Yarrowia lipolytica: one gene and its partners. The protein of the gene in region 1 interacts with the protein of each later gene in a pairwise test. Links are inferred from orthologs where the notes say so. Each region holds a gene or a part of one and is shown on either strand. Other genes may lie near its edges.

Evidence for each region.
Region 2: the proteins of YALI1_D00449g (region 1) and YALI1_B09044g interact in a two-hybrid assay, tested with the Saccharomyces cerevisiae proteins (2 studies listed by BioGRID). The link is inferred for Yarrowia lipolytica from reciprocal best matches to the Saccharomyces cerevisiae genes SBA1 and PPT1.
Region 3: the proteins of YALI1_D00449g (region 1) and YALI1_E23292g interact in a two-hybrid assay, tested with the Saccharomyces cerevisiae proteins (2 studies listed by BioGRID). The link is inferred for Yarrowia lipolytica from reciprocal best matches to the Saccharomyces cerevisiae genes SBA1 and DOT5.

Annotation. Positions count from the first base shown.
Region 1 is NC_090773.1:43,620-46,485, reverse strand, and holds YALI1_D00449g (uncharacterized protein), read left to right. Parts: upstream 1-1,543; coding exon 1,544-2,299; downstream 2,300-2,866. Other genes in the region: YALI1_D00474g (uncharacterized protein), read left to right, coding at 1-748; YALI1_D00422g (uncharacterized protein), read right to left, coding at 2,631-2,866. UniProt on the Saccharomyces cerevisiae protein: Acts as a co-chaperone.
Region 2 is NC_090771.1:903,123-906,488, reverse strand, and holds YALI1_B09044g (uncharacterized protein), read right to left. Parts: upstream 2,016-3,366; coding exon 576-2,015; downstream 1-575. Other genes in the region: YALI1_B09072g (uncharacterized protein), read left to right, coding at 1-158. UniProt on the Saccharomyces cerevisiae protein: Protein phosphatase that specifically binds to and dephosphorylates the molecular chaperone Hsp90 (HSC82 and HSP82). Dephosphorylation positively regulates the Hsp90 chaperone machinery.
Region 3 is NC_090774.1:2,327,715-2,330,494, reverse strand, and holds YALI1_E23292g (uncharacterized protein), read right to left. Parts: upstream 1,242-2,780; coding exon 576-1,241; downstream 1-575. Other genes in the region: YALI1_E23302g (uncharacterized protein), read right to left, coding at 1-262; YALI1_E23280g (uncharacterized protein), read left to right, coding at 2,513-2,780.

The sequences.
Region 1 (2,866 bases):
TCACGGTGCCCGTGGAACCGGATCGGATGCTTACGGCAAGAACACTTCTTCCACTGGCTCTGATGCTTACGGAAAGAACACTTCTTCTACCGGAACTCACGGAAAGGATGCCTACGGCAACGACGCCTACGGAAAGGACTCTACTACTGGACCCCACAGCGGCACCCATGGTAAGGAGGCTTCTCTCGGCGAGAAGTTCCTCTCTCACATCCCCGGTACCTCCGAGTACGAGGAGCGAAAGGAGGGTGTTCCCCTTGGAACCACCAAGGAGCAGGAGCAGTTTGAGAAGGAGGCTAAGAAAGGCTCTTCCGCCTACGACTCCACTGGCAAGCACGGTTCCACCGGCACTTCTGCCTACGACTCCAAGACGGGCACCACTGGAAAGCACGGAACTACTGGAAACACCGGTTCTTCGGCTTACGATTCTACTGGCACGAAGACTGGCTCGCACACCGCCTCTGGTGTCGGTTCCAACTCGGAGTACAACACCAAGACCCGAGCCAACCAGGGCCAGTCTGGTGAGAAGGTCTTTGAGCACCACCACCACCACCACCATCACCAGGATGGAGCTGGAACTGGTACCGGCTCTGGTATCGCTCATCCCACTCTGGGCCGAAACAACGAGGAGCTTCTGCAGCCTGGTCAGGAGGGCATCAACCCTACCTCTCTCGGTGCTGCCGAGGGCGGAATCCAGCCCGGTGCTGGTCTCGCCGGCGGCCAGGGCATCAACAACGCCCGAGTTCTCTAAGCGACTCTGCCTGTATTAGTTAGATATGAATAATTTATTATGATATTGATTGAGTAATTGTGATCTAGTAGAATCCTACCGCTCGTGGCTGTATTGTAGCTACTTGTATCAATAATTGAACAAGTCGAGTTGTGTGAGCTTGAACATTGTTCGCGCTCGTACACGTTCAGTGCTCTCTGCCTTCAAGAAATACGCACGTGTTAGAACATATCGCCCGCTAATTATTTTTGTGTAAACTGCGTAGAATCGAAATAATGGACTCAGCAGACGTACTCGCATCGTACGCGATGGCGGATCGTACTTCACATCCACATTGACACATTATCTGCTTCGTATATCCCTCTTCTTCATCATAAATTATTTTCCCACTCACAATGACGTATGCACAGACTGATCTACAGCCCGCAGAATCGGGAGAATCGGGGGCACAAATTTCAGTGAACATCCTGGTGCCTTGTTTGTCTATAATTGTACGAGTACTTCGTATTATATTATCACTGACGTGACTGGGGATGTTTCTAATGACGTCACTTTACGTAACCCTCTATGTACCACCAATATGCCATCCTCAAAAGGCACTCGCCTCATTCCCTATTAACCACATCTACACGCCTCCCCGCCTGCATTGCCACCTAGACCGACCCCCAGTTAGCGTTTGTGCACGCCCTGGAAGTTCTAAGAAGAACATCGAATATCTGCACCCACACCCTAAAGCTTATCTGGAGAAGCACAAGTAGCATATCAAGAAGCCAACGACCTCCTTCTCTTCACATCACATCAAGACACAATTGCAAGATGAACAAGACTAAGTCTATCACCCCCGAGGTTACCTGGGCCCAGCGGTCTAACGAGCACATTCTAGCCAAGAACATTGTCTACCTGAACATCCTGATTCCCGATGCCAAGGACATTGAGATTGAGCTCACCAGCAACAAGCTGAAGCTCAACGCTTACAACGATCACAACTCCTACGAGCTGGATCTTCAGTTCTACGGCGACATTGATCCCGAGGCTAGCAAAAAGACCGAGACCGGTCGAGGCATCTCCTACATTCTCCAGAAGGTCAAGTGCGAGAAGGACTACTGGCCCCGACTCACCAACGAGAAGCACCGTCTTCGGTTCATCAAGACCGACTTCGACAAGTGGGTTGACGAGGACGAGCAGGACGAGGAGCCTCCTGCCGAGGAGGACATGGGCATGGGAGGCCAGGGCCTTGACTTCTCCCAGCTTGGCGGTGCCGGTGGTGCCGGAGGCGCTGGAGGCATGGGCGGCATGGACATGGCCTCTATGATGCAGGCTATGGGCGGTGCTGGAGGTGCTGGCGGTGCCGGAGGCGCTGGTGGCATGGATATGGCTGCCATGATGCAGGCCATGGGTGGCGCCGGTGGTGCTGGAGGTGCTGGAGGTGCTGGAGGTATGGACATGGAGGCTCTCATGAAGCAGATGGGCGGTGGTGCCGGTCTTGCTGGCGGTGCTGAGGACGCCGAGGGTGCTGAGGGCGAGAAGGGCGAGGAGGCTGAGGAGCTTCCTGAGCTCAAGGAGGACAAATAAGCGATCCACAAGCCATCAAAAGCTACATGCTTAATGTATAAATAAATTCATGATGATTAAGATCGAGGGTGCAGTATAGTTCGTACAGTAGTACATGTAGTGTCAATTGGATATGTAAGTAACTGTGCATGTGCCAATTGGGTGTGAATAAGCTGTCTGTGTGCATCAATTGCATTAACAACACCACCTAATAGTGTGTTTTGCTGCTGATATTGGAGGGGTATTTGTGTCTCCATAGCGTGCATTAACCGTGTTACACTACAGTATCATGTGCTGCCACAAGCGCACATTATCACCATTTGAATCTCCACTATCTATTAATCTATTTAGGCTAATGGGCAAAGCGGAAATCCAACCGCCGACTGCCAATGTCTTTCGTGGTAGCCTTGTACTCTGCCTTTTCCTCCTTGCTCATGGCGTTCCACTTGTTATCTCTGTGTCGGTTGATAGCCACATAGTAGACCTTGACCAGCAAGACCAGAACAATTGAGGCAGCAGAGATGGCCACCAGCTGAGTATTTCCACGGTAGTACTGAGGGGCGTCGTCCTTACGGTAAATGTTGGATG
Region 2 (3,366 bases), on another chromosome or scaffold:
ACAGAGAGGACGACACCCGGCCAGGGAGGAGCAGGGAGAGGTCTAGAGAAAGGGGGTACTCAGAGAGGAGGTCCTCAGAGAGGAGGTCCTCAGAGAGTAGGCGCAGTCGGGACAGGTCTCGCGAGAACAACCACAGATCCAGGTCGCCTCGATATTAACAAACGTGGAACATGGTCTAGTAGAAACGTGTGAAACACCTATTTATAGTAACGGATTGGGTAATTTTTAGAGGCAGTAGTAGTAAAGGTGGTTGGGCGGCAAGTTATGGGCGATGCCAGATGAATCAGAAAGTCACGGCGATATGTTGGTGCAAGAATTATCAAAGAACAAGTATGAGATGATCTGATGGACCATTAGATGATCCTAAGTAATGAGTCTACAAATACATATATTTTATTTCACGAGAATGCCACGCGAGCGTCGAGCGTCGAGCGTCGAGCGTCGAACGTCAAACGTCTACTTTCGAACGTCTAGTTCAAACCTCTACTTGTAGCTTCAAACGTCTAGTTTCAAACGTCAACTTTCGAACGGCTTGTTGTCCACTCGTGACCTTCGGCCACTAGTTTCCAAATCCGTTAACCCATGAGCCGGTTGCTGTAAGCCATGGGCTTGACATCGGGATGAGGTTGGGCATCAAAGACGTTAAACTGCATCTCCAGATCATGTCCAATGTTGATGTAGGCGCCCTTGTTGCCCTGGGAATCGCAGTAGTTGGGGGCCGAGAAGACCGTCACCAGCTTGCCGTTATGCTCCACCTCGTAGCCTCCCATTCGCACCTCGTGGGATCGCAGAACTCCCTTCAGCCCGTTCTCCTTGCAGAAGGCCTCGGTCACGTCGGGTCCGAAACGGATACCCACTCCTCTCTGGGACGGCGACCGGCCGTTTTCGGGCTGCGGGTCGGTCCACAGCATCTCCATCATAAGACCGGAGTTGCCAGGCTGTTTTCGCGAAAATCGTGAGTATGCTCGAATGTCGTCCAGAGTGACGCCGTCCTTGGAGAAGAGACCGCCATGAACAACAAAGTAGGCGCCTCCAATGAGATGGGCCAGAGGCAGAGCCGAAAAGGACTCTGAAAAGAGCTTGAAGGTCCGTTCGTTGTATTTATGCTTGATTTCGCCCTCAAAGCCGTAGACGGCGTTCATGTCGTCAGTCTCGTGGTTGCCCCGGTTCAGGTAGATGAACGACGGGTTCAGCAGCTTGAGAGCGTACAGCAGAATGGCAATTTCTGCCGACCACGACCCTCGGTCCACAAAGTCGCCGTTGAACACATATCTGTGGGTGGCGGAAGGCCAGCCGTTGAGCTTGAAAATTTCCAGCAGATCAAAGAACTGCCCGTGGGTGTCTCCGCACACGGTGGTGGTGGTTCCCTCGGGAACGGGAGTCTCGACCATGGTGGGCTCCTCCTTGAACAGCTTGATGGCGCCGACCACAATGGCGTAGACGTATCTGAGATGCAGCAGTTTGCCGTTTTTGAACCGCTCGACCAGATCGTCGATGAACTTTTGCGTCACCGTGAAGACGGGCTTGTCATTTTCGTCGTATCCGTCGTCGATTTTAACTCCGTCGTAATTGTTGTCGATCTTGACCACGTCCAGGTCGATCTGCTCGGACAGAGCCGGGCCCTCCTCCACAGCGATGGCCAGCGCAAACGCGGCCTTTCGAACGAGCTTCTGGCACTCGTTGAGTCGCTGTTTGGCCGCATTATCGCCCGGAGCCAGCTGAACAACCTTCTTGAAGTCCACCAGGGCGTCCTTGTGCTTGATGATGGCGGTGTTGGACACAGCCCGACGAAAATAAGCCTTGATGTAGGTAGGATCCAGTTCGATGGCCTTGGACGAGTCCTCGATAGCCACACCGTACGCCTCGTTCTTGATGTGGGCCTGGGCCCGGTTGGCATAGTAGACGGCAGACTGGGGGTTCAGCTCGATGGCCTGCGTGTACAGATCCACGGCGTCGTTGTAGTGGCCCGAAAGCAGGGCTTTGTTGCCTTGGTTCTTGAGATCTTCCGCGGACATTTCGGGGCGGGGCGGGCACTGGTGGTGGACTGTGGGGGAGCTGAATCGCGAATGTTGGTGTCTTTGATTTTCCACTCAACTTTATTTGTTCCAGCACGTAAACAGAGGCCGATCCGACCGCACTTTGCGGGGACGTAAACGGAGGTTTGAAATCAGAAAGGGACAAAAATCGACTCTACAAAGATTCTGGAGGTGTTTCCAAGTCCAATATCGCCTTTGCAACCGCTTCTACAGGACCCTTGTCGCTTATCAGATGGAGATCAAAACTCCACTCTACTTGGGACGTTAGTTGAACTGATGAAGTAAAGCTAATGGGGAAAGAAAGGTCTGTAGAATAGCCAGTTTTGATGCCCCGGTTTCGATTTTTTGGACGGAAGCGCAGACGATTGAGATAAATAGCTGATATTCACCCCAAACCATCAAATACTTTCCCCGTACACTTGAGCACTTGGTAAAAAAACATAAAAAAACATACAAAAAATTTACTGAGGTACACGGAACCTTAACATATTTAAATTCGCCATACAATATTGTCCTGAAACATTGAAAAATGGAAACATTGAAAAATGGAAACATTGAAACATGGAAACATGGAAACATGGAAACATGGAAACATGGAAACCTGGAAACATGGAAACCTGGAAACATGGAAACATGGAAACATTCTCTTTCTGAACTGCGGTCTACTGGAGACAGAAACAATACCACAAAAACGAGCACAACCAATGCACTTCCAGCCCCTCACAAATCGGATAGATTTGACAGAAGGCGACCCATGTGCTGATAGAGGCAGGAGGCCTGATACAGTTTTCCAGACCCAGGGCTTGTTCCAAGCAGAAGATGTGGCCACGTGACCCACCATCAGCCGAAATTTCGGTCACGTGACGGACCTCGGTCACGTGACAGATCCTGATGGCCCCGCGCCCCGCGCCCATGCAGCTCACTCACGGCTTCCCGACTCTGACGGTATGGTGCAACCCCACATTAGACTCAACCGAACGCTTAGCGAGATATTGAGCATTGTTGACTGAGACAAGAGAGACAGGCAAGGGAGGCGCAAAAATATGTCGAATGATTGAAAAATTGCCCAGTGGGGCAATTGGTACTCAGCGGAGTAAGTTTTTACCCAGAATCCATTGGAATATCCGTGATTTGAATGGTTTGAAGATGTGGATCTGGATGCTCAGGCTATTTGTTATATGAGATAGTACGAATACGACTCTAAGTTGACTATAAGTACGACTATCGCTGAAAAAATTACACCATTGGATTTGTCTGGCTGAGAGCTCTCTAATGGTGTGTTTATTTTTCACACAACTTGGATATTTCGGCCAATAACCGATGGCCATGG
Region 3 (2,780 bases), on another chromosome or scaffold:
TCTGCTCCTTCTGGTTCTGCCAATGGCCCATAACAGCTTCCTCCAGCTCCTTCTGAATGGCCTCAATGTCGTTTTCCAGCCGGATGATCTGGTGGCGAGTGTTTCTGATCTGGTGAACGTCGATATCCGCCCGCGGGAAGCCATCAACGGTCAGCGGAGTGGTCATGTTGACATTGTGCGACTTGAGCACGTCGTAGAGCGCATCTACCGTCTCTCGCAGCGAGTTACGCTTGTTCTGGAGCTCGAAAATGTGCTGAGACATGTGTGGTGAAGGTGTGTAGAGGGAGTGCGGTGGGAGTAGGAAGTTAAACGGGGATGTTGCAACTAATGGTCAACTGAGTTTAGTTGGACTTTGTGGGACCAAGACTAGCGACAATGTTGGCAGGTGGAAGTGAGCCAATGAGCCGTGATTCGCTGATTTCTTGTGCAGGCTATAGTCTCTCACTGTACCCACCTAAACAAGTCGACGGGTGGGTTGGTCTGATGGCTTCGCTCACTTTTCGTCTAGTCATTCTCTCATGTCTTATACAATACTATACTGGTATATAACAGGCGCTTCGACGAGATCCGTTTGGCTACTCCTTCTGAACCTCTTCCAGCGCCTGGGTATAACTGGCCTCGGGGCCAATCTTGACCTCCTTGACGGCGAGCTTTCCGTTCTTGAAAATCCAATGGCTGCGAATCACGCCCTTGGGCACCTTTCCGGGGGTCTTGGTGGCGCCCAGAATGCCAATCAGTTCGTGCTTGGGGTCGGACAGCAGCTCGTAGGGCGCATTCTGCTTGGTCTGGAACTTTTTCTGGGCGGCGGTGGAATCAGCCGACAATCCAAACACGGTGGCATCGACCTTCTTGAAGTCGTCGTATTTGTCTCGGAAGCCACACACCTGCCGGGTGCATCCGGGAGTGGACGCCTTGGGGTAGGCGAAGATGACGACGATGGGTTCCTTGGCCACGAGCGCGCTCAGATCGATGGGATTGCTGTCCTGGTCCAGCAGTGTGAGTTTCTCCGGCAGGGCGTCTCCGATTTGGAGTTCAGTGGGGACTTCCTCAGGCTTGGACTCGTTGGTCTTAGCCTCATCCTCCTCAGTCTTGGACTCCTCGGTCTTGGACTCCTCGGTCTTGGACTCCTCGATATCTTTCTTGTCACTTCCATTCACCTTTTGCTTTTTGGCGCGCTTGGAGGGCAGCTCCTGGGGAGCAGGGGCCTTTTCTCCGGCCAATCGGGCAGATCTTCGGGCCATTTTTCGAGCAAGGCGGTTGTTGCGGACGGGGGAGAATGGGGGAGCAAAAGTCGGGCGAATTAAATTCACTCAATCGTGTGGTTGAGAGGCTCGGCTCCCGCACCCCGTCGTCGACACCATATTGGGAGGGGGCCATTAGAGTTAGGCACAGTAGTGGATGGTGGAGGAGGTTGCAGCTTCGGAGGGGTGCTCATGGGGGCGAGGTTTGGCGTCTGATTTTGTTCGATTCCGCAGAAAACGCGAAATTGAACATCTCCATCAACTTTTTCCCGTTTCTCCGGCCCGTTTCTGACTCACTGGAGCCCAAGATTGACCCACGACTAGCGTTGCAGTTGAACCAGAGAGTGGTTGGTGGCGTCGCCAAAGTAGAAGCGCCATTGGCCATAGCGTGAGAGAGCGACTACTTGTAGTTACGACTCTCAACATCTCCTTGCAGGCAAGGGGGTTTTGCACCGGTTTGTGTCCACAATATGAGAGCTGTTCGCGTAGGCGCAAGTCACTTTCGAGAACTGAAATGAAAGTGTCGTTGGAGTCGATCTGTAGAGCTCTTGTATATACCAAAGGTACCGAGCCTTAAGGAAGCACCAATTAGTAAATCATGTGACCGTTTCTCGTGCCGCCCTGGTCGAAAGAGGTCTTTCTGGAAATTTCTTGGAATGTTTGAGAAGATGAAGATAAGTAAAGCGTAAGTAAAGCGTAAGTAAAGCGTAAGTAAAGCGTAAGTATGTACTAGTATCAGGTATTGTAGTTTAGGAGTCACGGCTTGGATGGTAGATAGTCGAGAAGAAAGCCGAAATCGTGGAGTTGTTCGTTGTTCTCATGCTGCTACTGCTACGGATGTTACTGATAGTCCGTAGTCGTCCTTCTACCGAAAGAGCTGATAATCTCCTATCACATCTACAACCTGAGATTCATTCCCAAGAAAGGAATGCCGACTGAACGTACTAATGAGCAGAAGCCATCAATCTCCGCAGTACTCGTACTAGTACTACAGTCCACTCCCCTGCAGTTGACTCGCCAATCAACTCCGCTACAGTCAACTCCTCCTCGTTTGAGACAATAGCCCTACCTGTACCGGCTGGCAAGGAAGTCTCACCTGAACAATGCCCGAATGAGACCAGAAGGGTACGTGAAGAGGAAGGATACGAATCACGTGAAGAGGAGAATCACATGAGGGGGAGGGATACGAATCACGTGAGTACAAGGGTCATAACCGAGACTATAATGTCACAAGTATCAAGTCAAGTCAGTCAGCGGCTGTCAACTCACCGATGTACTTGCCCACACCCTTTCCAATTATCAGATCAGGTCGACATTGGATCATCAGGATCAACGTGGATCATCGTGGATCATCGTGGATCATCATGGATCATCACAGACCAACATGGATCTGCGCCGACCCTACGCTGATGGTGGTAGCGTCGAGTCTATCCTGCCTCCACAGGGCCATGAAAGTTGTCGTATTCCGCGTGGGGGCTGGCTTCCTGACAGAAGCGTTGGACCATGCGGCACCGACCTACAAGGGCGACACAGTACATG